3 linked regions of the Tamandua tetradactyla genome follow. The protein of the gene in region 1 purifies or fractionates together with the protein of each later gene. This does not show direct contact. Links are inferred from orthologs where the notes say so. Each region holds a gene or a part of one and is shown in the gene's direction. Other genes may lie near its edges.

Region 1 (9,795 bases):
TGACCCCTGACCTTTCCCATGGCAGACCCTGCCAGGTCTCCGTTGGCCACAGAATCCTGAATGAACAGCCTTTGACCCGGTTCCTAGAGTGGTCCTTTCCCCGGCCTACCTCTTCAGTCCCTCCGTCTACCCAGGGCCTCTTCTTGTCTGGGAGAAGCCAAGGAGGATACTGGAGCAGCGTCTCCTTGTTTCCCTCCCTCTGCAGAGGAAGGAGTGTGGGCTCAGAAGAAGGAGAATGCCCGCCACTGTGTGGCTGTGGGCAGGTCACGCGGCCTTTCTGAGCTTCCTCAAAGCATCATGAGATTCAACGAGGCAAGGCCCGCTGAGGCCAGTGGGAGGCATTTTCTACATCTTTGCTGTCTTCCCTCCTTCCAGGGGAGATGTCAGGGGCTCTGAGCAGCAGCTTCTAAATTCGACCTTCTGAATCTAAAAGTCCCATCTTTATTTCCACTGTCCTCTAGCTGACATCCAACAATTCTTTCCAGTAATATTAGCAGTATACCTATGACTTTGTCATCAATGGAATTTACAGTTGTTTTCATAGTACATTACAAGGTTCCAGAAAACCTGAAATATAATTGATGGTCATCATGATTTCAACACAGTAAGAATCAGATCTCCACCCGTTCTTGTTATTTACAGTGTTAAAGAAACACATATATTACTCTACCACAAATTTGCTTTCTTAATATTCTGTGACTATACTGCAATGTGATTAGTTTCCTTTGGAGCCGTACACATTTTTAAAGACATTTCTTTATTGTGAAATATAACATAAATACAAAAAAAAAAGCAATAAACTTTGAAGTACATTGTAACAAGTAGTTATAGAACAGATTTCAAAGTTTGGTATGGGTTACAGTTCTACAATTTCAGGCTTTTCCTTCTAGCTGCTCTAAGACACTGGAGACTAAAAGAAATATCAATATAATGACTCAGCAGTCATAACTCATTGGTTAAATCCTATCTTCTCTGTTATAACTCCTCCTCCTCTTTTGATCCTTCTCCCAACCTTTAGGTGTATTTGGGCTATGCCCATTCTAAAATTTTCATGTTGAAAAGGGGTGTCGACCATGGGATCCACAAAGGCCAAAAGGGGGAAAAGAAGAGTAATTAATAAAATATCAGTGCCTGAGAGAGTCCAAATAGAGTCAAGAGGCTACTCCAGAGGTCACTCTTATGCAAGCTTCAGTTAGACAATGCTACCTCTCGTAACTTGCCAAACCCCAACCAAAACCATTCTGCCAATCCTAAAGAACACCTAGGGCAATATATAAGATTCTACAAAGGTTCCATGCACTAGAGTAACTTTCCAAAAATCTACAACCTACAAATGGGTCCCTGGACCAGATAAGTCCTGAAACCCACAGGGGCCAACCTCTCCAGAACATCAGCTAGTTCCATCTCTCTACCCCTTATTATCGACAGCCCCTCCCAACATGAAAAAGTTAGAATGGGCATAGCCCAAATACCCCTAAAGAGGGGGAGAAAGATAAAAGGTGATGGTGGAATTATACAGAGAAGGTAGGGTTTAACAAATGAGTATGATTGCTGAATCATTACATTGCTATTTCTTTTATTTTCCAGTATCTTAGAGCAGCTCGAAGTAAAAACCTAAAATTGTCGAATTGTAACCCATACCAAACTATGAAATCTGTTCTAAAAATAATTGTTGCACTGTGCTTTGATATTTATTGTGTTTTTGTATATATGTTATTTTTTTCACAAAAAAGGAAAAAAGAAGTCAATTTTGATGATAAAATCTGTTTCTTCTAGCCTCCTATATTCTGGAGCAGCTAGAAGGAAAAATATGAGATGAAGGTATGGTAGCCCATGACAAACTCTGGGATCTGTCCTGTAAGTACTTGTTGAAGAGTGCTTAGAAAACTATTGCTTTTTTATTTCTTTGCTTTGTATATATATTATATTATACAATAAAAAAGTTTTAAAAAATCAAAAAAGAAAAAGGGTGTTGACAATATGGGATAGGGGGATGGAACTAATTGATGTTCCGGAGAGGCTGGCCCCTCTGGGTTTTAGGACTTATCTGCCTAGGAACCATCTAGAGATTGTAGGTTTCTGGAAAGTAATCACAGTGCATGAAACTTTTGTAGACTCTCAGACAGAGCCCTAGGTATTCCTTAGGGTTGACAGGAATGGTTTTGGTTGGTGGTTGGCAAGCCATGGCAAACAGCAATATATAGTAGAATAGCTTTTTGACTCTATTTGAACTCTCTTAACCACTGATACCTTATTTTATTTCTTTTCCCCCTTTTTGTCAGGAGGGCATTGTCAGTCCCATGGTGCTAGAGTCAGGGTCATCCCTGGGAGTCATGTTCCACATTGCCAGGGAGACTTTTATACCTGGATGTTATGTCCCATGGGCAGTGGGGGGAGGCGGGTAATGATTTTCCTCGCAGAGTTGGGCTTAGAGAGAAAGAGGCCACACCTGAGCAACAAAAGAGTCTTTCTGGAAGTAACTCTTAGGCATAACTATAGGTAGGCTTAGCTTCTCCACCACAGAAATGTTTCATAAGAGTAAGCCTCAAGATCAAGGGCGTGGTTTATTGACATGGGAGTCTCTAATGTTTGAGACAATATCAGGGTTTTCCCCAGTGGGAAAGTTTAATAGTTTCACATTTTTTCTCCAATTCCTCAAGGGACTTTGTCAATACATTTTAATTATCTGCCCACCATACTCTGGGTTGTATCCAGGTATTACATTAAGCTATACAGAATTACAAGCCCTCATTCCCATTCTGGGCTCCATGTGTTGGGGATGTTCCAATGAGCTTTCCAGACAGGTTGAGTTAGGTTATATGCTACAAAAAAATCAGGTTTGGGACACAACGAACCCCTCTTCCTTTGGTCTCATACAGTAGGTGAAGTTCTGAAATACAGACAATATCACCCTTTACCCTGCAGTCTGATTTATCTTGGTCCTGAACAGATGTCAGCTGCACTCTCATCTCTAATTGAAGCCAGATCTCTTTCTCAGTTCCTTTAACAGGTGTTGTATGTAGCAATGCTGACTTGCAGAGCTGAAGAACACCAACTCTGAGTTTTAGATGTCACACAGGTAGCCAAAGTTTCAGGGAAATACCAGGTTATGCATATATAACACAGCATCTCAAAATCTAGAAGTAGCCTGTACAGCTCAGGTGGAGTTCTACACATTTTGGGTTGTACATTCAAAAGCATTACTTTGAAAAAGGAATCCAAACTGCTAAAGGGGTCCCGGGCATGATGAAAATGAAGCCCCTCCTCTAGCTGGACTCCAGCTTCCCCTGCAACCCCCAAACATCCATTTACTCCCTACACTTGGTGTTCTCATCTGCAGGAGGTCCGTGGGCCTGGGTGTGGGAAGAATTGCCTCAACTATTCTATAGTTTTAAAACAAAACTTTTAACTTTAGAAAACTTCAAATGTACAGAAAAATTGGAAAGAAAATATGGAGACTTACCCCACACCCCATCTCTTTTGCCCTTTTGTAAGCATCTTATATTACTACGTTACATTTATCACAATAAAGGACCCAATACTGACACATTCTTACGAACTAAAATCCATAGTTTAGTCAAACTTCTTTACTTTTTATTCTGTCTCTTTTCTGTCCTGGATCTACCCCAGATTTAGTCATCAAATCTGCTTAGGCTCCTCTTGGCTGTGACAGTTTCTCAGACCCACCCTATTTTTGATGACCTGGACAGTTTTGAGAGGTGCCACTCAGATATTGGCCACAGAGGCAAAGGGGCCATTCTCATATCATGCTAATAAAAGAAAACCTTTTCATACAATTTAGGATCTCACAGCTCTACTGGGCATTCATGAAGCAGGTGCCCCCCCATTCCCAAAGTTGAAGGGAGCTCCCCCAAGCAGTGGAAGGAAGAGCTCCTATGGGGTTCTGGTCGGCTGACATGAAGTTGCCGTCCTGCATAGGGGGGTCTCATGTAGGTTAGGGTGGCCTGCTTGTCCACAGGACCCAAGCTAGTTTTATTACCAGGTATTTTTTATCAGCGTCCCTGCAGACCATGTTCTGCTTTTGTTTTGTTTTGTTTTCTGAAAATCCCTGCAGGTCAAGCGTTTCTGGAAAAGTCATTCTCTGAAAGGGGGTCTTCTCTGGCCATGCAGAACACAGGTAGCCATTTTATTTTACTTAACGATATCAAGGGAATTACTATCAACATGCCATCAGGGCTGATGCTGAAGCACCTGGCTGAGGTACCTTTGGACTCTGTGCTGTACTGTCTGGAAGGAAGTCACCAGGTGCAGCCCACCTTTAAGGAGTGGGAAGTTAAGTTCCAGCTTAGAGTACCTACATAAATTATTTGGAATTATGGAGAAATGGGTGTAATTGCCCACATTTATGAATTTATCCAATCATTTTTGTACCAGTGTGTGGATTCATGGATATTTATTTTAGGTTTTGGATTATAAGCCAAACACTAACTTATTGTGTTGCCATTCTTTTTTTTTTTTTTTAAATCAATATTAGAGGTATAATTTATACCCGATAAAATGTCTGGGCTCAACCTCTTTTGTTGCTCAGATGTGGCCTCTCTCTCTTGCCAACACAACAAGCAAACTCACCCCCCTCCCCCTGTCTACGTGGGACATGACTCCCAGGGGTGTGGACCTTCCTGGCAACGTGGGACAGAAATCCTAGAATAAGCTGAGACTCGGCATCAAGGGATTGAGAAAAACCCTAGAATGAGCTGAGACTCAGCACCAAGGGATTGAGAGAACCTTCTGGATCAAAAGGGGTAAGAGTGAAATGGGATAAAGTGCCAATGGCTGAGAGATTCCAAACAGAGTGGAGGGGTTATTCTGGAGGTTATTCTTAGGTATTAAGTAGATATCACCTTGTGATTCAGGATGTAGTGGAGAGGCTGGAGGGAACTGCCTGAAAATGTAGAGCTGTGTTCCAGTAGCCATGTTTCTTGAGGATGACTGAATAATGATACAGCTTTCACAATGTGACTGCGTGATGGTGAAAACCTTGTGTCTGAAGATCCTTTTATCTACCTTGTCAAGAAATGAGTAGAACATATGGAATAAAAATAAATAATGGGGGAACGAATGTTAAAATAAATTTAGTACATAGAAATGCTAGTGATCAATGAAAGGGAGGGGTAAGGGGTATGGTATGTATAAATTTTTTTTCTGTTTTCGTTTTATTTCTTTTTCTGAAGAGATGCAAATGTTTCAAGAAATGATTATGATGATGCCTATGCAAGTATGTGATGATATTATGAATTACTGATTATATATGTAGAACGGAATGATCAAAATAGGAATGTCTGCATTTGCTTTGTGTTTTTTGGTATTTAAAAAAATTAAAAAAAAAAAATGTCCCCGCTCAAGTGCAAGCTGGCTGAGCCTTAACAAGCGTCCGACATGGGGATCCAGCCCCAGACCCAGCCCCTTTGCAGGGGCCACCAGCATCCAGGGGCCGGAACTGAATTCCTCACCCAGCGACGGGGAGGATGACGTCAACTTCCCATTTCAGATTGAGAAATGCTCCGAGTTACCCACCGGGGTAAATAGAGTCGCTAAGGGGCAAAAACATAGGGACGTCAGCAGTTAGCCTTCTCTGCAGTCAGCAGCTAAGAAACTTTGCTAACCCGCCGGGGAGGGATGTGGAGCACCAAGGCCCGGCCCAGGTGGGACCTCCTCTCCAGTCTCCTTCCAGCATGCCCCCCCACCCCATTTTCTGACCCCGCCCCCTGACCCCCACCTCCTTATGCAGTTGGGGGCGGCCGCCCACAGCCCCTGGGAGTCAGGCGAGGCCCTGAAGGGCGGGCCGGCGCTGTCTGGGGCCCGGGCCGGCTGTGCTGGGGCGGGCGGGCGGCGCTGGGGGGGCGGTCCGAGTCAGGGGGCGGGCGGGGGCCGAACTTTTGGCCGCCGTCCCTGGGGGGCGGCGCTGAAGCGCAAACGGCCCGGGTCCCTCCCAGGCGGGAGCAGAACAGGCGGTGCCCCCGGCGGCCGCGGAGCCATGGACGGCAGCGGGCCCTTCGGCTGCCCCATCTGCCTGGAGCCGCTGCGGGAGCCGGTGACCCTGCCCTGCGGCCACAACTTCTGCCTCGCCTGCCTGGGCGCGCTCTGGCCGCACCGCGGCGCAGGAGGTGCCGGCGGGCCGGGGGGCTCAGCGCGCTGCCCACTGTGCCAGGAGCCCTTCCCCGACGGCCTGCAGCTCCGCAAGAACCACACGCTGTCCGAGCTGCTGCAGCTCCGCCAGGGCTCGGGCCCCGGGCCCGGCTCCAGCCCGGCCTCCAGCCCGGCCCCGGCCCCGGCCCCGAAGCCCGCGGCGCCCAGCGTGCTGCCCAGCGCCCCCGAGCCGTCGGCTCCCTGCGCCCCCGAGCCGTGGCCGGAGGCCGAAGAGCCAGTGCGCTGCGACGCGTGTCCCGAGGGCGCCGCCCTGCCCGCTGCGCTCTCCTGCCTCACCTGCCTCGCCTCCTTCTGCCCAGCACACCTGGGCCCGCACGAGCGCAGCCCCGCGCTGCGCGGACACCGCCTGGTGCCGCCGCTGCGCCGACTGGAGGAGAGCCTGTGCCCGCGCCACCTGCGGCCGCTCGAGCGTTACTGCCGCACGGAGCGCGTGTGCCTGTGCGAGGCCTGCGCCGCCGCCCTGGAGCACCGCGGCCACGACCTGGTGCCGCTGGAGCAGGAGCGCGCGCTCCGGGAGGTGGGCGCGGACGCCTTGCGCAGGCAGGGGCTGGACGGTGGCGGCGCGCGAGCTGGCGGGGGGGGGGGGAGGGGGCCGTGGACACCCCCAGTCCCTCCTTCCCGGCTCGGAAAGGATCCTTGTCTTGAAATTACCACCTTCTCGCGGTGGTGGAGATGGGAATGGGGGAGGGAGGACACGCAGGACGCGAAGGGAGGGCGGGGGACCTGAGCCAGGGTCGATGTAGGTTTGAGCCAGGACGGGGCTGGGCCAGGCCCGTGGGGTGCCCGGGAGGCTGATGCCGGCGGCGAGGCTGATGCGCTCCTGCGCATGCCGGTTCGCATGCCGGTTCCAGCTGAAACTGGCCCTGGGCTGAGGCAGGGGGTGGGATGGGTGTGGCGGGGACAGGAGTGCCGCAGAAGAGAGGCGGAGGCCGGCACACAGCTCTGCTCTGTCCAGCAGATCCGCCGCGAGCATGTGTGCAGCCCTATCCTCTCCTTCCCGCCCCCAGTTTCCTTTGGCTTCCAGCCGGGTCTTGGTGCCTCCGGCCTTGGGATTTTCCGTCTCTCCTGCCTGGAGCAGTGACTCATAAGACCCAGGGGATTTACTCGGAATCCCCTGTTTTCAGGCCTACATTGGGGATACAGACCTGGGGGGGGTGGTCAGTGATCCCCAGAACAGTGGCAGGCCCACTTGTGCAGTCGCCCTGGCACACTTTCATCCTTGGCCTCTCTTCCCACTGGAGGAGGTTCTCAAGTGAATTTGAGCAACAGCAGGGTCCATGCCTGGCCCTGGACATGCCCTGTGTCAGGCAGGGAGGGCGGACGACCACGCCGGCCTCCTGTCCATGGGCATCTGGGAGTGGCACCTCTGGCACGGTCACGACATCATGGCCACTGCTAGTCTCACCCAGGCACAGACACCACTCTGGTTCCCCCCTCTTCTCTCTCCTGCGGGCCCTGGGTGCTGGCCTCTGGCCTCTGCCAGACCCTGGATTCACGGACGGTGTCACCCACAGGCTGAGCAGCCCCAAGTCCTGAGCGCTGCAGACGACCGTATGGACGAGCTGGGTGCCGGCATCGCCCAGTCCCGGCGCACCGTGGCCCTCATCAAGGTCAGAGCCGCCACCTCCCCCAGCCCCACTGAACGGAGGGTCTCCCCTGCCCTGGGGATCTGGGCAGGCTCGGCTGGGTCCCTGGGTGCCCCCGAGAGGTGTGGGCAGGGTGGGGAGGATGGAGCCGAAGCCCAGGACCATACCCTGCCCTCATGCCCACCCCCAATGCCGTCCCGTGCAGAGCGCGGCTGCAGCAGAGCGGGAGAGGGTAAGCAGGCTGTTTGCCGAGGCCGCGGCCACCCTGCAGGGCTTCCAGGCAGAGGTGCGGGGCTTCATCGAGGAGGGGGAGGCCGCCATGCTGGCCCACTCGCAGGGGGACCTGCGGCGGCAGGAGGAGCAGCGCAGCCGGCTCAGCCGTGCCCGCCACAACCTCAGCCAGGTCCCGGAGGCAGATTCAGTCAGCTTCTTGCAGGTGAGGGGGCTGCCGGTGGGAAAGGTGGGAGGCAGAGGGAGGCAGGGGCGGCGGGCATGGAGAAACTGCCCCCAAGCACGTGGCCTCGAGGAACTGACCCAGCCTCCTGGCAGAGCTGTCCCACCCCCGCCGGGCAGAGCTGGAGCCAGCACAACCTTAACCGGCATCTGTCTGGCACAGGAGCTCCTGGCCCTACGGCTGGCGCTAGAAGAGGGGTGCGGCCCTGGGCCCAGCCCCCCGAGGGAGCTGAGCTTCACCAAGTCGAGCCAAGCCGTCCAGGCGGTGAGAGATGTGCTGGCTGCGGCCTGCACCAGCCAGTGGGAGCAGCTGCAGGGGCTGGGAAGCAATGAGGACAGCCTGCAGAAGCCAGGCTCGGAAGGTGGGTGCTCCCCCACGCCTGGCTGACTCACCCTTTCCCAGTCTGCCCGGGCACCCCCAAGCCTGGTGCCCATCCAGAAGCGGAGGATGGAAACTGTGCCTGGCTCAAATCCTGCCAGTGCCTGGAGCCACCTCTGTGTGGTGACAAGTCAGTTTGGCCACAGAGGGCCCTTTCTCTTGCCCACCCCCTAGCTACAGAGGGGACTAGGATCCAGGGGGCAAGTGGCACAAGGCTCAGAACCCAGGGACCAGGCATGCATGGGGACACTGGGTGCCATATTCTGGCGTGTACCTGTCGCCAGGTGACTCAGGACCCTGGGAGAAGGGCAGGAGCGGGAACTGTGGTCTCTGGTTTAGAGTGGGGCCAGTGCGGGTGCACCAGTTGCAACATCTTGGGCAGTCTGTAGCGACCTGTCCCCACTGTCTCCTCTGCAGCTGATGCCGAGTCCCAGGCCCCTGACAGCACCAATCACCTGGAGAGCGAAGCCCCCAGGGACTACTTTCTAAAGTGTAAGTGGGCACCTAGGCCCTCCCCTGGCTGCCTGGCTCCCATTCCCTTCCCTCGTCCTTGGGGCGAACTAGGTTAGCTCATGGAGTGGTCCCCAGCAAAGAAGGAGAGGGGCCCGTGTATGGGGGAGACGGGTGCCTGGGAGAGAGGCCGTCCCATCTGAGCCCTGCATCTCTGTCCCGCCCGCGAGAGCAGTTGCCTACATCGTGGACTTGGACAGCGACACGGCGGACAAATTCCTGCAGCTTTTTGGAACCAAAGGCGTCAAGCGGGTACTGTGTCCCATCAACTACCCCGAGTCGCCCACCCGCTTCACCCACTGCGAGCAGGTGCTGGGCGAGGGTGCCCTCGACCGGGGCACCTACTACTGGGAGGTGGAGATCATCGAGGGCTGGGTCAGCATGGGGGTCATGGCCGAGGACTTCTCCCCACAAGAGCCCTACGACCGGGGCCGGCTGGGCCGCAACGCCCACTCCTGCTGCCTGCAGTGGAACGGACGCAGCTTCTCAATTTGGTTCCACGGGCTGGAGATGCCCCTCTCCCAGCCCTTCTCGCCCACCGTGGGCATCTGCCTGGAGTACGCCGACCGGGCGCTGGCCTTCTATGCCGTGCGAGACGGCAAGGTGAGCCTGCTGCGGAGGCTGAAGGCTGCCCGGCCACGCCGGAGCGGCCCCCCACCTTCCCCCAGTGACTCCTTCCAGAGCCGCCTGGACAACCAC
Region 2 (10,091 bases), on another chromosome or scaffold:
TTGAGGTCTTCACTGAATCCCTTCTCACACTTCCTTTACTCAGTCTCACCAACACATCAAGGGACTTGCTTCCCAAGATTTACAACTTGACTCTATAAATGACTTAAAGACTGTCATATTAAGATGTAAATGTCTGTTTTAGGTAAACACACCTTAACTATCATTCTCACTATATAGCACAAAATATAAATTAATTAGAAAAATTAAGTAATCATTTAATTAGAAGAATTTTAGTCTTCAGCCTGCATTCAGATGCAGGTGGTGAGTGAAAAGGGATAGAGTAATGAGGCTTTTGAAGAATATTTTTGAGGATAATAGGTCTTCACTTGAGATCAAACCAGTTAAGTGGGCTTCTATTTTACCTACACTTAACCTAGACTTTCCCACAAGATACTCCTTATTGCATTTTTCTAAAATTACCAAGAAAGGTTACTTGAAGAGTCATTGGCAAAAATACCCAAGGATAGTTCCCAGAAGCTAAAAACAAGAGCACCAGTGACAAGAGCTCTTTAAAAGACCACATTCCTATCACCAAAATATAATCAACCTACGCAATTTAAAACTGAAAGCTAATTTTACCTCCTCATATAGACTTTGAAACTGACACAAAAGGACTTTTCTAATTCTACTTTTGCTTTCCTTAAACTCTTCTCCATACTGCAGCAAAAGCAAAAAATAAATCAGATCTTATCACTCCTGTGCATAACAATCTCCAGTGATTTTCTATCACACTCAAAATAAAATCCAAAATTCTTGCCACGAAATATAGGGACCCTAATTACTCCCTCCCTCACTATGCCTCAGCCATTTCGGAGTTCTCTGTTCCTAAACAAGCCAAGTTCACTTCCATCCCCGGGCTTCCGTTCTTGACTGGCATACTCTTCCCCCAGATTTGTGTGTGTGTGTGTGTGTGTGTGTGTGTGCTTGTTAATAAAGCTTTCTTGGAACACCCATTGGTTTACCTATTTTCTGGGGCTGCTTTTGCACTGCCGTGGACAATTTGAAAAACCAGGACAGACAGTATTTGGTACTGTTGTCATTTTGCACTGCTGCTCAGTGCAAAACCATTCCTAGTAAAGCATTTATAACTCAGTTTTGGCTCTTGGCTTGCAAGGCCTGAATATTTACTACCTGGGCCTTTACAGAAAAAGTTTGCTAACTTTTGACCTAAGATCAAAGTTGAGACACACTTGGTCATTATAAATATTATAGAATAGAGCTAGTAGTCCACTTTTTTTATGGTGAAAAATAACATATACACAGAAAAGCAATAAACTTCAAAGCACATCACAACAATCAGTTATAGAACAGATTTCAGAGTTTGGTATGGGTTACAGTTCCACAATTTTAGGTTTTTCCTTCTGGCTGCTCCAAAACACTGGAGATGAAAATAATATTAATATAATGATTCAGGAGTCATACTCATTTGTTAAATCCTATCTTCTCCTTTATAACTCCACCTTCTCCTTTGATTTTTTAAAAAAAAATTTTATTGATATATATTATATATTCACATACCATGTAATCACCCAGAATGTACAATCATTGGTTCACAATATCATCATATAGCTGTGCATTTATCATCACAATTGACTTTTTTTTTTTGTTTTTTTGTGAAAATAACATATACACAAAGAAGTAATAAATTTCAAAGTACAGCGCAACAATTAGTCATAGAACAGATTTCTGAGTTTGGTATGGATTACAATTCCACAATTTTAGATTTTTACTTCTAGCTGCTCTAAGAATACTGGAGACTAAATGAAATATCAAAATAATGATTTAGCAATCATACTCATTTGTTAAACCCTACCTTCTCTGTATAACACCACTATTACCTTTGATCTTTCTCCCACTCTTTAGGGGTATTTGGGCTATGCCCAGTCTAACCTTTTCATGTTGGAAGGGGCTGTCATAATATGGGATGGGGGATGGAACTAGCTGATGTTCCGGTGAGGCTGGCCTCTCTGCATTTCAGGACTTATCTTTCCCAAGGACCCATTTGGAGGTTTTAGTTTTCTGGAAAGTTACCCTAGTGCATGGAGACTTTGTAGAATCTTATATAATACCCTACATGTTCTTTAGGATTGGCAGGAGTGGTTTTGGTTGGGGTTTGGCAAGTTATGTTAGGCAGCAATGTCTAACTGAAGCTTGCATAAGAGTGACCCCCAGAGTAGACTCTTGATTCTATTTGAATTCTCTCAGCCACTGATAACCTTATTTGTTAAACTCCTTTTTCTCCTTTTTGTCAGAATCACAGGCCAGGCTCAACCCTGGGAATCATCTCCCATGCCACCAGGTAGACATTCACCCCTGGATGTCATGTCCACGTAGGGGGGAGGGCAATGATTACACTTACAGAGTTGGGCTTGGAGAGAGTGACATCACATCTAAGCAACAACAGAAGTCCTCCAGAAGTAACTCTTAGGCATACCTATAGGTAGGCTAAGCTTCTTTGCTATGTAAATAAGCTTCCCAAGAGCAAGCCTCAAGATTAAGAGCTTGGTCTATTGATGTGGTGTCCCTAATGTTTGGCACAGTATCCAGGGTTTCCCCAGTGGTAAAATTTAATAGTCCCATAATTTTTCTTCCATCCAAAGTCCAAAAGTATTGGACTTTGCCAACACTTTTTGATTATCTGCTTAATATACTCTGGGATGTATCCAGGCATTACATTATGCCCTACAGGATTAAAGGCCCTCATTCTTATTCTGGGCTGCCTGTATCTGAATTGCTTAAATGATCTATCCACACAGGTTGAGACAGATTACGTACTATTCCCCCAGATCTTTATGTGGTGGCTTCCTCCTGTCATTAAGGCCTCAGCCCAGCTGCCATCTCCTCTAACAGACTATCTGACCAACCCATGCTGAGTAACCTCTCCTTTGACCCTTCTGTCTCCTAGCCTGCCTGGGTCGTACTTTTCTCCACATCCTTATTACTTATCCCTCTCTGCAATGACCTTGCTTGCATTCTGTTGGGCCGGTGTAAGCTCCATGAAAACTGTATCCCCTCTTCACCACAATATCCCCAGTCTCTACAGCAGTGCCTAGCATATTCCAGGAGATCAATACCAATTGATTGAATAAATGCATGGTGGCCCAAGTTCTATAATATAAAAATTATTTTAAAAAAATCATAAAATACAAAAATAGAGTTTGGAGTCCTTTTGAAGAAGTAACAAAGACAATTTAGAGCCAATGTTGCGGGTGACTTCTTTACTAAATTGGATGTTTTTTGTGATATTCAAAACAGGACAGGACATGCTTTTTAAAATTTAGTCTTCATTATTAACATTTTCTCCATCACTTTCTCAAGTCTAGACCATCAACAAAGCAATAAGTGAAGCCCTAATTTGTGGCACATGTGCAAATACTTCTTCCATGGCTAACTCCATGGTGTAAATACTCCTTCCATGGCTAATTTCAAATTCCAACATGAAGTCACTGAATACAGAGTTGGGTAAAGATGTGCAGTAATAACTTATAGAGAATTTCCACCACACAGACAAAATAGGCATAAATAACCACAAAAGCATATATAATAATAAAAAGTATTAAAATATATAAAAGTGATGCATTTCTAGTATTCATTACTGTTCTAGTTTGCAAGCTGCCAGAATGCAATATACCAGAAACATAATGGCTTTTAAAAAGAAGAATTTATTAAGTTGCATGTTTATATGCTCTTAAGACTATGAAAATGTCCAAATTAAAGCAAGGCTGTAGAAATGTCCAATCTAAGGCATCTAGGGAAATATACTTTGGTTCAAGAAGGCTGATGACATTCAGAGTTTCTCTTTCAACTGGAAAGGCACATGGCGAACATGTGGACACCTGCTAGATTCCTCTTCAGGCTTCTTGTTTCGTAATGATCCCCAGGCTGTTTTCCTTCTTCATCTACAAATGTCTCTGGCTGCGTGGGCTCTATAACTTTTTCTAAATGGTTCCCTCTTAAAGGGCTCCAGCAAGTAACCCACCTTGAATGGATGGAGACACATCTCCATGAAAACCATCTAATCAAAAGTTACCACCCATAATTAAGTGGTCACATCTCCATGGAAATAATCAAAAAGCTCCCACCCAGCAATACTGAATGCGGATTAAAAACTTGGCTTTTCTGGGGTCCACAACAAATTCAAATCGGCACAATTACCTTAGTTTTAAAATAAAGCCATTTAATAAAAATTTATAAAATTTAATTTTTAATAATGGCCGTGTTAACAAACTGCCATCAAAATTCCTAAAATTTAAGTTGGCTCTCGTGAGCCAGTACAGGCCAGCTCCAACACACTGCTCTCTCTTAGTTTAGTGCTTTTTCTACTGATTGTCCATACTGCTTTTATTACTCACATGTAAAAAATGCAGTGATGATCTGTAGGGTACAGGAGAAAACCTGGGTGCCAGTCAAATTTTTCCCTTCTGTAAAGGATGGGAACGACAGTCCTTGCCCTATCTACCCACAAGGCTTGGATTTAATTGGTTGGCCTGTGAGAGAGTGCTTTGTAAACTGCCGAGCAGGAAACAGATAAAAATGGCTTATTATGATGATCATTTCATCACTGCTTTTCAGCCAGGCCTCCATTGTTAAGGGTGCAAAATGTGTTGCAGTTTTCAGAGGTATGGTTTAATTTTGGATTTTCCATAATGCCTGGACTGTATATTAAACACTCAGAAAGGATGTACTCAGATGTCCACTCAAAATCTTACTGATCCTTACTTAAGATAACCATATTGGGAGAAAAAAGCTATCTCTTTTTTTTTTTTCAAAGCTTATAGTTTACTTATCATGTCTAAAGGAACCTGTTCTTGGAGGTTGTGGCATGCCTCTCTATTTTCATAATTGAGCAAGAGTCACTTGATTTTTAAACTTGATTCTTTGAAGCCTCTGTGCTTTTTTGCCTGGACCATTTCACCAAGTTGCTTTGTATGGATTGTGTCCCACTGTGCAATGTGTTTTCCTAACTGGAAGTTGGATATCCCAAATATCCTAAGTTGGAACCCCAACTAAACTTTGTCGACTACAAAATTTTTGCCTTGAGTTTGCTGAGTCTCTCTTTGGGCTGTATGGGCAAACTTTTTCTGCCAAGCTCTTTCTCACTTCAGGCCCTTTTCCCATGCCAATCCCTCTGCATGGAAAGCTCTCAATTATTTTCTGGGCTCACCTCTTTTCATCCTTCAACTCAAATGCTACCTCCTTAGAAAGGACTGCCCTGAACACCTGTTACAGGTCACCTCCTTTATCTATTTTTTATTCCCATCACAGCAACTGATCACAATGAGCGATTTCCTTGTCTTTTTTTCTTCTTCTTCTTCATGCATATCTTTCATTATAATGTCAGCTCCTTGGGGACAGGGACCTTGCCCACTGATGTCATTATCTGTCCCCAGTGTCCAGCATAGTGCATGGCACACAGTAACTACCTGTTGAACTGACTTGTCTGACGAGATCCACACCAACGGATGTAGGCACATACATTTATCTTGAGGCAAGAGCCTACCATAAAGACCAGCCAGGACTTTGTGTGTGGCTCTCATAATAGCAACATTTTTCTCTGGGCTCAGGAGAAGGCACAGCGGCAGCAAGGATGGCTGGCTCCTCTCTGCCCCACCCTGACAGAGCTGCCCTAGTGATGTCACACAGGACAGGATTCTCTGTTCCTTTTAATTCTATGACAGCCTCCTAAACAGCTAAATTTTTCATGCCACGATATGCTGGGGAGGGAGGGAGGAAAGAAAACTGGGGTGTGGGGGGTTTACACACCCTAAACCACATTAGTTTTGGGGCACTATTTAAGTGGGTAGTAGAAGCTGCAATGAGGACTAAGCTAAAGAAGAAAGAGAAGAGAAAAATGGGGAAAAGAAGGATAAAGGATATGAAAAAAGAACAGAAGACAGGGAGAAGAACGATAAGGATAAAAGAGAGAACAGGAGGACAAATGAAGAGGATTTTTGAGAAAGGAAAACATGAAACAGGTAGTGAAGGTAGAAGAGGAAGAACTGAACCTCCCTCTTGGCTTTGTAACTTTTGTGTAGTGGCTGGCTTTAGCGTGAATGGAGGGATGGCCCGGGGGAAGGGAGAGTCTCAGGCAGCCCCTCCAGAGGTCATTTAAATTGTTTGAGATTATCCTGAGAGACCTGGGTAAGGCTGTCTCAAGGGTGACTCTCCTGGATGCATTCACAATAGTAAACCTCTTCTTTAAAATAAGACTTATGGAGGAATGGGGGTCTGAGTCTTGCTGGACTATTCAGACTCCCCACCACAGTTCCCTTCCCCACCCCAAACCTTACAACTACTGGCCTAATTGCATGGATTTAAATTCAAGACTTTAAAGCTAATCTTTGATAAAATCTTTGTTAACTGAAATACAAAGAGATTTCCAAAGTTTAATAACATACCCATAGAAATTCCTAAAATACAGTTACGGCAATATATTCCCTGCTGCTGTTCTACAAAACCTACTATGAACGTCTCAGACTTGTGTGGGAGGCCCAAGCTAAGCTTTGTAGCTCAAAAGAGAAGAAAATCTTCAACTCTTTTTTTCCCAATGTTTTTCACTTCATTTAGGTTTCTCCCCTTAGTTTACACTTTAATAACAGGGAAGGGGATATTATAATATCAAGCATATTTCATTAGAAACAGTTAAGATTTGCTCCAAATTTAAAACATTGATCTTACAATCCATGAATTTTCCATTTCTTACCAAAATGTCCATGCAAACTGTGTCCTGAAATAAGAGATTGCAGGAAGTTGTGGATTTATTGGCAGTCTGTGGTACACTGTGCATATTCCTTAAAAATCTATCTTTACGCTCATATTTTACTTCCCCCCCTTTCCTGCTACAATTGGCCCAGATTCTCCTACCAGTGTACAGCAGAGTGAAGAAAGGTGAGGACATCTAAAGGAAGGAAGCAGAAAAATGGACAAAATCTTCAATTTCTCTGTGGTCCCCTGCTGTCATTGATGAGCCAGCTTCTGCCTCGTGAATTAGAAAATCAGTTTTTTTTAACGAGCTCTCCAAATCCTGGTCACCACCTGGGCTCTTCTATTTTGGACCATTAATGAGTCCAGTCGCATGCTAATCATGCTGTTTCGTGTCTGAAGAATTAAGGGTTTCAATAGGTAGAAATTCAAAGATCTTTGATCCAATTTCTTTTCTTGGCAGGTATATGGGGAAGCAATTAAGAATTATGTCCTCAGATGATACTGGGACAAAATTCTTAAGTGAATTTCATTTTTACTTCATATTCCTGGAAATGATCCATTTACATCTTACTCGAAGAAATTCTAATCCCAAAGATGTTGGGTAGAGTGATTTTTGGGTTCCCCAAAGATTTGGTCTGTCACTGACTGGAGCTACTATTTGATCCCGTTGTGAGGTCTCAAAGCGGAGGGCACAGAAGTTCCCCCACAAGTCACGTTGCAAAAAATGAAGACGGCTTTTAGAACTTTAGAGGTACTAAATAATGCTTGCTGAATGAAAGAATAAGTTGCTTTTGATCTAAGAGTTGGGGCAACAAAGTGATTACAGGATATACAAAGTGGCTGGGTGCAAAATGCTACATTGAACTCCTGAGATAAAATGGAGAGGGCTCATCACAAACTTACCTTGGCTAGGCTCAATTTGGCTAGTGTTTTCAGGTATTCTTTTATACGTCTTTCCCTTCAGCAATAACGCACTCAGGTTTTCTTTGTATGTGTCAGGACATCTTCTAAATTTTTCAGGAATCTTTTCTTTTAGCTTGTTTCTGAGAATGTGGTGTAGGTCAAATCCACGAACAGGTTAAGCCTCTAACGAGAAGGAAAGGCCCCCCAACCAATGGGAACGCGAGTTGGTGATGTACTGCTCCCTAGTTCTGATTCATTGGTCGCCTAGGGTTTGTCATTCTATCCCCGGCGTCTGCAAGCGGCGTGGGTCGGGTTTTCCCTAGGCTAGCTAGCTAAACTGGATTTTGGCCGCCTGCACGTGCAACTTCAATTAAGTTGAGCTCATCTCTAACTCTTAATGGAAGCAGCTGCTATGTTTCTGATTATCCTCCAGATTTTTGGAAAAATCCTCTGTTCCCTTAATCTCATTGGAGGTCGTTGGAGGTTCGCTGTGACAAAATCACGTGACCAACATGTGCAAATAAATACCCTGGAATCCCATGAGCTACGGCGGAAAGCCTGCCAGAAACTCGGGGCATGTGCCCCGTGCGTGCATCATGTGCGCTCTGGGTCGGTGGGTGGGTGGGGGCAGGGTACGTGTGTGCCCGCCCTACGGGGCGCAAAGTGCGTGGCCGGAGCCCGTCCGTGGGGCTCCCGGGGACACTCGGGGAAGAGGGTCTGCGGTCGCGGGGCACTGGGAGAGAGGGGGTCGGCCACGCCGCGGGACCGGCCGCGCCTCGGAGCGGCAGCGGCGAGAGGAAAAAGCTCCGGAGCTGACCTCGGCCCTGCGCGGGCAGCACCCTAGCGGGGCCCGCGGAGAGGTGGCGAGTGGGATGGGGATCTGCAGGCAGGTGGACGCGCCCAGCAGCGAGGCGCAGCCGCCCGAGGGGCGAGGGGTAACCTTCCGAGGGCCGGCTGGGGAAAGGCTCTAGAGCCTCCCAGACCCCGAACGGTTGCGCAGTCTTGTTCAGTCTCCGCCGCTGGGGGATCCAGGGCCGGATAATGGTTCGGAGCGGAGATCGGAAGGCTCCCGTCGCCCGGACAGCTAGGCGACGGCGTCGGCGGGAGAAGCTGGGGAGGTCAGTGACGTCACTCGCGGCCGCCCTCAACCGCGCGCCAGCGCTCGCCGCAGTGCCTGCCCCACGACATCCGGGTCTTTTCAGCTGCTCCGCCGCGCCGCAGTTGGAGCGGCGGCGGAGCCGGCAGGGTGGGGCGAGCGCAGGAGTGGAGGAGGGGCGGCGCCGTCGTGAGCGCGCCTGCGCGGGGGCGCGCTAGAGGCAGCGGCGGCGGCGCTGGAGACGGGAGCGCGCGTGGGAGCGAGGGAACAGCGGTCTCCGCGCCGGTCCGGCCCGGAGCCTCGGGAACTCGGGCGGCCGCAGCTCGGGACCCGGTGGTTGGGGAGGGGGGGTGGGGGGGCGCCAGGCAGGTGGGGAGCGAAAGCGATGACTCCTCGGCTCTTCTTCCTCCGGGACCCGTCCTCCGCCTCCCGCTCCAACGCCCGGATGATCTGAGCCGCGAGGGCGCCGAGAGCCGGGGGCCTGGACGCAGCCGGCTCCTCCCCTCCTCCGCCCCCTCCCCGGCCGCCGCCGCCTCGGCCGACCTGGGACCTGCCCGCCCGCGGCTGCTCGGGGTAAGCGCGGCGCTGGGGCCGAGGGCGGGCGGGCGGGCGGCGCGGGCCTGCTCGGCGGCGAAGCCAGGCCTGGGGCCTGTAAACAAGCCGGGCGTCTGCCCGGCCGCTCCGGGGAGGAGACGCGGCGACTCCACCCCCTGGCCCGGCCTCCTCCTCCTCCTCCTCCGAGCCGGGCGGCGGGCGGCGAGGGGTTAACGCGCCTGGAGGGCGGCGGCGGGCGGCGGGGGCGGGGTGGCGGCGGCGCGGCGACGCGCGGAGGGGCCCGGGCGGGGTGCGCGCGGCGGCGGCGGCGCGGGAGGGGTCGGCGGGCCCGGGGGCGGCCGGCGGAACTTTTCCCCGGCGGGGAGGGGGCGCGGCGGGCCCGGGCGCGCGGCCCGGAGAGGGAGCGGGGGAGGCGCCCCCGGGCCGGACCTGCCCTCGAAACACCCGGTTCTGGGGAATGTGCTTCAGGCTTTCGAGGGGTCGGGGTGGGAGGGAGGCCCTGGCGAGGTCGCCGGGGACGCGTCGGGCTCATTCATTATGAAGGTGCCGAACCGGATGCACTGAAGTAGCGAATTACACCGACTTGTCCCTATCCTTTAACCGTGTCTGTTAGGGTAAAAGTTCTCGGCGTCCGAGTTTGGTTGAGGTACGGTTCTGCTCTGCTTGTAGATGTTACATGAACTTGGAGCCTGCTCTTGAAAGACAGCTGGCTGTGGAGCCTTCTCCCGACCGCATTTTAGATGCGTTTTGCAAATTTCATCACCTGAGGTCTTTTCCTTCCCTTCTCCAGCACTTACACGTCCACCGAGGCCATGTCACGTCGGTAGTCCCA
Region 3 (10,319 bases), on another chromosome or scaffold:
AACTTCTAACACACGTGACAACATGAACGAACCTAAGACAGACATAAAAACATATTGTACGACACCACTTGTACGAAATATCCAGAATAAGCGAATTATAAAGACACAAAGTAGAGTAGAGGCAACAGGGGCAGGGGTGGGGAGGGGAGAAGGGGAAGGTATTACTAAACAGGTGCAGAGTTTGTGTTTGGGTGATGAAGCCCTTGGTAAGTGCTGGGTACTTAGCAAGTAACTAAATAAACATTAGCTCAAAAGTGACAGCTGCATGAATTTCTATCTCAAGTTCCGCTGCCACAGAGGTCAGAGGAACCGGGGAATTGCTCAAGGAAGGGCCACACAGTCAGAAGGACTCTGTCATAAGCAACCATCTGCTATTTCTTTCCCTGTTGCGCGAATCACGTGGACAGGGGAGAAAACAAAGAAGTGACCTCAGTTCAGGAGGTGTGGAGGTGGGTAGGAGGGGAAGGACGCAATTCACTGTCCACACTGCTCCTTTCCAACTTCCTGCCTCTGACATAAACCAGAGACAGCCTTCCTGGGTTGGAGCCAGGTGATGAAACAGGTGATCACTGTTTCTTTACAGGATTTAGAGCTGTCACAAAATCGGGGATACCACACCCACCACTCAAGTCTGCAAGATTGTCTGCAATCGGAGTGTGTTTTGTGATGAGAGCAAAGGAGCAGTCACAGAGGGCCGTGGCCAGTCCTGCCATGGGGGAGAGTGGTGTGGAAGGGGCAGGAGAAAGCGCCATGTGTGCAGACCACGTGCAAGGCGCCCGCCTCCCTCAGGGGCTGCACCTGCTCCTGTCTCTGGCAAACACCTGGGGAATGGGCTTCCTGCATGATGACCCCGCCACATTGTGAACGGGATATCATTGCACAACTGGTAAATATAAACGAGGACATTGATTCCAATGTCCCTTCGACATTCCCTCTCTTTTTTAAGCAATTTATTGAGATAACCTATATCAAATTTTCCATTTTAACTGTTTTAAGTGTGCAATTCAGCATCAAGAATTGCTTTCATAATGCTGTGCCACCATCATCACCATCCATGAGCAAGACTTTTTCATGACCCCAAACAGAAACGCTGCACCTATTAAGCAATAACTCCCCATTCTCCCTGCCTGCACCTCCGCCCCTGGTAACCTCTAATCTACTTTCTATTAACTTGCTTATCCTAGCTATTTCATGTAAGTGGAATCATACAATATTTGTCCTTTTGTATCTGACTTATTTCATTCAGCATAATGTCTTAAAGATTCATCCAAGCAGTAGCATATTACAGAACTTCATTCTTTTATGGCTGAATCATATTCAATTGTTTGGATGTTCTACATTTTGGTTATCCATTCATCCATTGATGGACACTTGGGTTGTTTTCTTCAGCCCTCTTTTGATGGCAAGAGAACTTAATTCCTTCTGTTCAGATGAAAGCAACAGTTGATGTTATCCACATCATAACAATGCAAACATGTACATACCATGTGCTTACCACATGCCAGGCACCATCCCTACACACTTCAGTGGCATTTCTGTACAGTCCTTACATCAACCCTACTAGGTGGCTATATTCAAGAGCCCCACCTGACAGGTGAGGAAACTGCTGTTCAGAGATATTCAGTAACCTGCACAGATTTGCACAGCCAGTAAGTGGCAAGGTCAACTTTAGAGCCAGGAAACCTAGCTCCAGAGTCTATGAACTTAACCATCTCGCTAAGTGGCCTCACTCCAAAGGGGAATGTTAGGCCTTGTGGGTGCTGGCTTGAGCTGTCTATCATTGTGGATGACTGTTGTAAATAACTAGAAAGGGTCTCTTCCATGTATTTTGTGCCCTCTGCATCGGGCTCTGAGCATCTCATTTCATCCTCAGGATAACCCTGCCAGCTAGAACAATCACTCTTTCACAGACGAATACACCAGTTTTGTAGAGATTGGGTAACTGGCCCAAGATGTTCAGGCTAGTAAGGGCTAGAGCCGGAAATCCCACAGGCCTGCCCAACCCAAATTCTGAACTCTTAAAGAGGTTAAGAGTTACAAGACTTCATTCTTTTATGGCTGAATCATATTCAACTGTTTGGATGTACTACATTTTGTTTATCCATTCATCCACTGATGGGCACTCGGGTTGTTTTCTTCAGCCCTCATTTGACAGCAAAAGATGACGTAGGCACCATCCCTACACACTTCAGTGGCATTGCTACAGTCCTTACATCAACACTACTAGGTGGCTACATTCAAGAGCCCCACCTGACAGGTGAGAAAACTGCTGTTCAGAGAGGTTCAGTAACCTGCACAGATTTGAACAGCCAGTAAGTGGCAAGGCCAAGTTTAGAGCCATCATCATCTTCTCATCAGGGATGATGTCCAAGAGATTCAAGCTTCAGAAGGGTTGGGTTGAACTAGATGACTTTTACAGTTCTAGCCAATCCAAGTTACTGAGCATCTTCATTTCCTTGGCTGCTCAAGCAAACACCATGCAATGAGTTGGTTTGGACAATTTGAATTTATTGGCCCACAGTTTTAAGGCTAAGAGAAATCTAAATCAAGGTATCATCAGACAGATGTTTTCTTCCTGAAGACTGGCATGTTGGAGCTGGGTGCTAGCAATCCTTGGTCCTTGGCTTGTCAGTCAAATGACAATGCACATGGCGGCCTTTCCTGGCCTCTGTATTCTCTTTCAGGTTCTGTTAAATTTCAGCTTCTTGCTCCCCATGGCTTTTTTTCTGCCTGAATTTCTTTCTGCTTACAAAGAACTCCAGTAATAGGATCAAGATTCATTCTTACTGAGGTGGGTCACACCTTAACTGAAGTAGCCACATTAAAAAGGCCCGACTTACTATGGGTTACACCAACAAGAAGGTATTACATTTAAGACCATGTTTTTTTGGGAGTACATACAGCTCCAAACCATCACTCTAAGGGATTAGAAATCTGAGATGTAAATGGGCAAACCCTTGAATGGAGTGGCTATACTAGTTACTAGGCCAAAAGCATTAGTCATCACGTTGCAGATTTTATATTTAAGGAAATATATCTCTTCTAGACATTTTTTTAACATTCCATGCTACTTCTCCTGAAAAGTTGCATGAGGAACAAAGAGCTAAGTGCAGTTTGTGCTGCCTCAAGCGGTCTGCCCTCTCTGCAGTGGTTATCAACACCCCCTTGGAGAGACAAGTACTGTCTTTCCTGGTGGTACCACCACCTTCTCTTGTAAGCCTCCCCCATGTGACATTCCTGGGCACCCTAGATTCCACCGACGAAATTCAGCAGTTTTCAGTTTTCATCTTGATTAACCCATCTGCAGTTTTTAGCACAGCCATCACCCCCTGCTCCTCGACTCATGGGCTTCATCTGGCTTTTGGATGCCACCTCTCTTGATTTCCAACCTACCCCTCCTTGGCAATCTCTCCCAATCTCATGGCTCAAAACAACTGAGGTTTTCCAATGTATACCTCCAGCAATGACCTCTCCTCTGAACTCCAGACTCATAAATCCACCTACTTGGCAGTCACTTGGATGTCTAATGGGCACTTGAAACTGAGTATGTCCCAGAATTAGTCCCTACTCTTCAGGTGTCTCCAGCATACTCCCCTCCTGGTCTTCTCCATCTCAGTTAAGGGCAGCTCCATTCTTCTCCAGCCTTTGAATCATCCCTGACTCCCCTTTCTCACACATTTCACTTGTCAAAAAATCCCATCAGCTCCACTTTCAAACTATGCCCAGAATCCAACCATTTCTTATTACCTCCATGGCTACTTTCTCTGCCCAACCCCCCACCATCTCTCAGTAACCTCAGGAGTATCTGTCCTCTCTCCTCTTTGGATTAATCTAAACACAGTAGCCAGAGTAATCATGTAAAAACATCAGATTAGGTCATGCCTTTCCTCTACTGAAAACTCTCTAATAGTTTCCTTCCTACTGGAGTCAAGGTAAAACCTTCCACAGGCTCCCAGGCCCTATACCACCATCCTACCATCCATGACCTTATCTCCTCCCTTTTGCCCCTTGCTAGCTCTGTTCCAGCTACAGTGTCTCCTGGCCATTCCTCCAACATGCCACACCCTCTCACCCCAGGGTCTCTGCACTTCCTTCTCTCACTGCTGAAAACATTTTTCTCTAATCTCCACTGGCTCCTTCCTCAGGTCTTTCAGTTCTTTGCTCAAATGTCACTTTCTCAATAAAACCTCCCTGACTCCTCTATTTATCTCTTCCTCCCCAACATTCCCCATCTTCCTTTCCTATTTTGGTTTCCTTTATAGCACTAACCCCCATCTAACATATTAGAGCTATTATTTAGCTTGTTCATTGCCTCTTTGTTACAAAGTAAGCTCCATGAGGGCAGGAGTTTTAGCTGTTCTGTTCAGGCTCTATCCCCAGTTGCTTACGACAGTGACCTAGTAGGTACACATACTAGACAGCACATAGTAGGTGCTCAATAGATGTTATGAACTGAATCAGGGCATGACCAGCCTTAGGGCAGCACTTCTGTGGTTGCAAAGCAGTTAAGGGATGGGCTGTGGAGCCTCAAGGCCCCAGAGCTACCATGGATTAGCCGTGTGGTAGGTAGGAGGCGCTTTTCTGTCTCTGCAACTGTTTTGCTTTTCCTCTGCAAAAAATGCAGGTGCTGAAAGTTAAGATTCCCTGTAGCCACCCCCCACCTTTTTTTTCTTTCTTAATTTTACTGTGGTAACATAAAACAAAATTTTCTATTTTAACCTTTTTTTTTTAACATGGGCAGGCACTGGGAATCAAACCCAGGTCTGCGTCATGGCAGGCAAAAATTCTGCCTGCTGAGCCACCGTGGCCTGCCCTATTTTAAGCATTTTAAGTGTATAATTCAGTGGCACTAATTATATTCACAATATTATGCTGTCATCATCACTGTCCATTACCAAAACCTTTTCATCACCTCCAACAGAAACTCTGCACCAGTAAAGCAAAAACTCCCCATTTTCCTCTCCCACCAGCCTCTGCTAACCTCTAATCTGTCTCCATGCATTTGCTCATTCTAGATATTTCATATAAGTGGAATCATACAATATTTGTCCTTTCGTGTCTGGCTTAGCTCATAAACTCAACGTAACGTTTGAACGCTTCACGCACGTTGTGGTATGGACCAGCACTTCATTCCTTCCAACAGCTTTCAAATTATAGGACTCTATAAAGAGGAAGAGGCCTGAATTAAGGATTCACACCTGGGCCATCAGGGCAGGGGCATCCACTTCTGAGGTCGGTCAGAAAAACCAGGTAAACAAGCCCAGCAGGGGTCACCGGCGATGGAAGGGCAGGGGGCGCTGCGACCCGGCCACGCTGGGCTGCGGGGATGGCTTCTTCACTTACTAGCTGTGCAATACTGAGCGAGTGACTTAACCTTTCTGAACTTCTGCTTTCTAGTTTGAAAAATACAGAAATCAATCAATCAGTCAATCACGACTGTACCTCTCGGGCAGGACTGTTGTGAGGACTGAAGGAGATCAGATGGGCGGCCCCGAGTGACGCTCCACAAACGCAAATGGCTGTGCTCCGCCCACACCGAGGCGTGTCCGGGCGACTGCGGGGTGCGGGGAGCCAAGAGCACTGCAATATCAGGCAGTTTGAGTGAAATCCCCGCGGGCGGGGTTGGCGTGGGGGGCCTGGGAGGGACCCGAGCGTGGGGGGCGGGGACTCGGCGCCTATAGGCTCCGCCAAGACACACCCCTCCGGTACGCCGCTTGGACCAGGTCCGCTCTTAACGGTGCAGACCTTCGGCGCGCTTGGGTCGAACTCTTGCTGCCTTGTCGCCGCCTGCACCTGCCGCCCAGCGCGCCCCAGTCGGGTCCCATCATGACGGACCAGGCGCCCTTCGACACTAATGTGAACACCCTGACCCGCTTCGTCATGGAGGAAGGCAGGAAGGCCCGCGGCACGGGCGAGATGACCCAGCTGCTCAACTCGCTCTGCACGGCGGTCAAAGCCATCTCCACCGCCGTGCGCAAGGCGGGCATCGCGCACCTGTGAGTCAGGTCTCCGGCTGCCTGGGGTCGCGTCCTGTCTGTCTGTCTGTCAGGCTGGGGATCTCCGACACCTGGCTCTCTGGCCACCTGCTGTCAGCCTTCGTCTCTCTGACATCTAAGAGTCTCTCACTCTCTCTGATAGTTCCTCTCTCTCCAGAAGCCTGCTTAGCCGCACTCAAACCCAGTCGTCCACCCTTAACCTTGGAGGGACCCAACTGGGGGTGTTGGGGGTGGGGTGGGGCGAGGAGAGTCTGTCTCCCAGGTCGAAACCCGCACCATCCTGCACCCCTTCTACTTGGACTGAGCAACCTGCCTTGACAACATCTCTCAGCTCCTCCAGATGCAACAGACTGGCCAGGGATGGCACGTGGCCGGCCCAAGTGCCCCATCCTAGTCTGGGATCATCTCACACAGGAACGTGTGGAGTGGATGCCTTACTTTCTGGTTCTCTTTTTTGGGATTGGAGTCCCAAGTCAGGTTTCCAACCCACTATCTCTTTGACTCTAAACCCGGGCAGGTGGGAGGGAGCCTGCCTGCACAGAGCTGCAGAGCTGTTTTCATGCAGTGTTCTGGAGGCTGGCCCTGCCTGGGGCAATTGCTGTGTTGTCCCACAAACACAGAAAACTCACCCAGACAGGTTAAAAACTTCTATCCAATGCAGTAATGGTGTGTGCAGCCCTTGCCCAAAAGCTGTGTGTAAATGAAAGAGTTTTAAATGAGCTAGGCTATGAATGTACCTCAGTTGTTGGCATTCCCAGGAATTACTTAGGAGGATCCTCTTAAAATGTGGCTGGGGGTGGGGCCTGAGATTCTGCATTTCTAACACATTTAGAGTGTTCTACTTGTGGGGCCACAACTCTAAGAAGCAAGGACTTACGAGGCATGGTGACTCAAAGGGTACCTTCTGTGAAGTTTCCTGTAAGTCACACAAATACCTTCTAATTTATCCTGGTGCACTAAATTATTTTATTGACTGGCCGTTGCTGTAACTGAAGGGTCCCTGGGTTTTCAGATTGCCCACACTGCTTCCTAACATTTCTCATGATTATGAGCATTGTTTTTTAAATGATGCATGATGCTCATAGCTGATCTAAAAAAAAGTGCAACCTTCCTACTTTGGAATGCATTTTCTACATTTATTAAAACGGCCCCTCTCCCTACACACACACACACACACACACACACACACACACACACACACACACACACACACACACACACACACACAAACTTCCTGCAACCTGGATTCCTTTTCAGGCAGCCCGTTTGGTACCAGAGTATGGGCTGGTAGAGCTAACTCTTCAGAAAGGAGCGCAAGATCACATGTTTATTTTCAGATATCAAGCAGGGTAAGAGAAATTGGAACAGGTATAATAGAAAGGTGGTAGCTCGTTACTAATTTCATCTTTGACCTTTCTTAATAACATATTTCTAAGGATTCTTTGCTTTAGGAAACATGTTCAGTTAAAATCTCACTTCAGATTTCATTTTCGAGTATCGGTGGCCTCATGACTGAGAAAAGGGAGCTTTTTTTAAAAAAAGAACTTATCATGTCTTCTATTTTTTAAATGTTTCAGTACCTTTCAGAAACCCATAGAGTCTCAGAAACTCAGGATATGTTTTGAGGTGTATCTTTCCTATCTTCTAAGTAACCTCAGTGTTTTCTGATTGCTTTAATGTTTTTATGAACTCTGAACACTTGGAGAGAGGTGTGTTTTCCCTGATCAGATAATGCCTTCCTTGTGTATATGACTATGAGAGTGGATTCTGGACAAAGGGTGCTCATTTTAGCTGCATGAAATATGTGTATTTTTAAACTAGATAGTTGTGATTAATTGTTGTTACTATTATAATTTAATCAAGAAATTTCATTCACTGACAAAAATTCAAACCATTCAAAAAACATAAAGCAATAAGTGAAATTTGTCCATTCCCTGGATTTTCCACTGTTAGTAATGTATGAGTTATTTTTCCCAGATATTTCTTAATAATCAGAAAAATTTACACATGGACATATATTTTACATATGCTTACATGTAAATATCAAACAAAATGGGATCACACTTAACATACATTTCTGCAGTTTGCTTTTACCATTCAACAGTCTTATAATGAGCATCTTTCGCATCAGGACATGTAAATCTACTTCCCCCCTTTTAAAGGCTGTGTAATATTCCACTGCCTGGACCTATTGCAAAGTTATTTTATGACTGTCTTTGGGCATTTAGGTTTTCACTAGTATTTGCCCATTATAAATAGCATTGTACCCTTGGAACTGGTGTCAATGTGTAGTCATGATGGTGGCTGGTGGGAGAGAACCAGAAACCTGTGCACTTAAATACTCCTTTGGGAAAGGAAGAATTTGGCTCTTCTCCATATGACATGTAGTCAGGCTGGCAGCAATCAAACATGATCTCGAGTCAGGCCTCCAAATTACATTCATTACAGGCTTTGATTTCCCAGATGAAAAGCCCAGAGTGCCTGCAAAAAGATTGTTAGTGCTGGGAACTTGCCCTAGAAGGATATTCACCCAGAGGGACAGGATGATGGCAGATTTGCAGTGACTTCACAGAAACATGTTTAAGGAGCATGACGATGACATCTCATCGAGGAAACATCAGAAATTGAGGCGTACAGCCAGATTTCCTTTCTCTCCATCTCTCATTTTTGCCTACAGCTGCCACTTTCATAGTTCTAGTAAGATGTTCATGGAATGCTAGAGTTTTACAATGAAAGAGACTTAGATGTCACCTAGTCCTGTCCGTCCTTTTACAGCTGAGGACACCCACTGAAGGCCAGGGAAGGTGTGACCTGGATGTCCCAGAGCCCCAGCTCAGGGCTCTTTCTGCCACACCACATGTTTCTTCCTTTGTTTTTAAGAAATCACTGACAACTCACCAAACTCTAAATCTCATCATTAATTACATCTTTGACGTGAATTCAGAACTGTTTCCCAAGGAGCCATTGCCCTTTGACATACATGTTCCTGGAGTCTTAACTAGGTGTTCCCAGGCTCTCTTCCACCCACTCTCAGGAGAGAAGGTATGCAGATGCCAGCGACCGATAGCCAGGCTTCTGGTTCTTTAATAAGAACGCTTAGCGGCCCGTCAAGTCATAAAGCAGATCTGATAAATTCATGGTTCGTATGTCAAAATTCCGGGTGTTCCCCCACTTCTTCATTTTCATTGCTTTGGGGGAAAGCGGTTCTCTGGTGGCTTCAGCTTTTGCTTTAGGTTTGTGGAGTTGACTTTCCTTTGTACATGTTTCTGAATACACTGAAGAATTTGGTGGTTCCATTCAATTCAACAAAATGTTATTTAGGGGCTGCAAGGGTAGTTCAATGGTAGAATTCTTGCCTGCTGTGCAGGAGACCCAGGTTCGATTCCCAGCCCATGCACTTCCCCCCAAAAAACAAAACAAGCTGACAAAAGAAAGAAAAAACAAATGCACAAAAATTCAACAATTGGTGCAGTAATAACAGGCTACTCACTTGGAAAAAAGAATGAAGTGTGACCCCTGCCATATAGCATACCAAAAAGAAAAAGTTATTGAACACTCACAATTTACAAAGTTCTAGAAGAGACTGAGACATGAGAAAGACACAGTGCTTATTCTGTAGAAAAATAAGATGCAGAGTGAGTTACGACACACAATAGAAATTCTGATAGAGAATCTCTATCAGAGGTGCCAAAAGACTATATCATAGAGGTGTCCAAAATACTATGTGGGTGCTTACGATTGTGAAGGAAGAGGTGCATTTGAAATAGACAGTAAAAGGTGGTCATAATGCCTGATGGCTAGAAAGCATTTCAGGCTGACAGTTATGTAAGCAAGGGTACTGAGTTGGGAGTGATTCTTTTTGGAAAAATTGCTCATTCAGTTTGAAGCGTAGGGTACACGTGATGGTGGATTGGGGAGGGGGGCTGTTAAATTGCGAGTGGATTGGGGAATCATCAGGTGGCAAGGGTGAATACTTGATACTCAAGGAGCTGGTCCTAGGACTGAGAGAAGGGCCATTAAAAAATGAGACAAAAACAGAATTCAAAAGGAGGAGCAGGTTTGGGGAGGCTGGAAGGGTGAGACGATGTTTCCAACATTTTGGAAACTTTGAACTTGACATGTTAGAGGGCTATCGCAGTTGGAGATGATGTCCTGCAGTTGGACATGCCAGCCTGGAACTCGGACATGAAAAACTACAGATTTGGCTGGATTTAGGCATATTTGCCCAGAGGCGAGAGGAAGAAGAAAAGAAAATCGGGACTGGGTTTAGAGGAGCAGGAACATGCAGGGCTTAAGAGCACAAATTCAGAGAGAGATGGATCT

Evidence for each region.
Region 2: the proteins of TRIM47 (region 1) and PPM1A purify together in Homo sapiens (affinity purification with western blotting; 3 studies listed by BioGRID, with this or other methods). This does not show direct contact. The link is inferred for Tamandua tetradactyla from reciprocal best matches to the Homo sapiens genes TRIM47 and PPM1A.
Region 3: the proteins of TRIM47 (region 1) and FBP1 purify together in Homo sapiens (affinity purification with western blotting; 3 studies listed by BioGRID). This does not show direct contact. The link is inferred for Tamandua tetradactyla from reciprocal best matches to the Homo sapiens genes TRIM47 and FBP1.

Annotation. Positions count from the first base shown.
Region 1 is NC_135332.1:16,242,811-16,252,605, reverse strand, and holds the start of TRIM47 (E3 ubiquitin-protein ligase TRIM47), read left to right. Parts: upstream 1-5,964; 5' UTR 5,965-5,995; coding exon 5,996-6,685; intron 6,686-6,921; exon of another isoform or gene 6,922-7,445; coding exon of another isoform or gene 7,446-7,682; coding exon 7,683-7,778; intron 7,779-7,959; coding exon 7,960-8,190; intron 8,191-8,370; coding exon 8,371-8,569; intron 8,570-9,003; coding exon 9,004-9,078; intron 9,079-9,271; coding exon 9,272-9,795. UniProt on the Homo sapiens protein: E3 ubiquitin-protein ligase that mediates the ubiquitination and proteasomal degradation of CYLD.
Region 2 is NC_135338.1:4,804,131-4,814,221, reverse strand, and holds the start of PPM1A (protein phosphatase 1A), read left to right. Parts: upstream 1-5,682; 5' UTR 5,683-5,701; coding exon 5,702-5,975; intron 5,976-7,608; exon of another isoform or gene 7,609-8,318; intron 8,319-8,933; exon of another isoform or gene 8,934-9,277; intron 9,278-10,091. UniProt on the Homo sapiens protein: Enzyme with a broad specificity. Negatively regulates TGF-beta signaling through dephosphorylating SMAD2 and SMAD3, resulting in their dissociation from SMAD4, nuclear export of the SMADs and termination of the TGF-beta-mediated signaling.
Region 3 is NC_135328.1:121,203,705-121,214,023, reverse strand, and holds the start of FBP1 (fructose-1,6-bisphosphatase 1), read left to right. Parts: upstream 1-5,666; 5' UTR 5,667-5,826; coding exon 5,827-5,996; intron 5,997-10,319. UniProt on the Homo sapiens protein: Catalyzes the hydrolysis of fructose 1,6-bisphosphate to fructose 6-phosphate in the presence of divalent cations, acting as a rate-limiting enzyme in gluconeogenesis. Plays a role in regulating glucose sensing and insulin secretion of pancreatic beta-cells.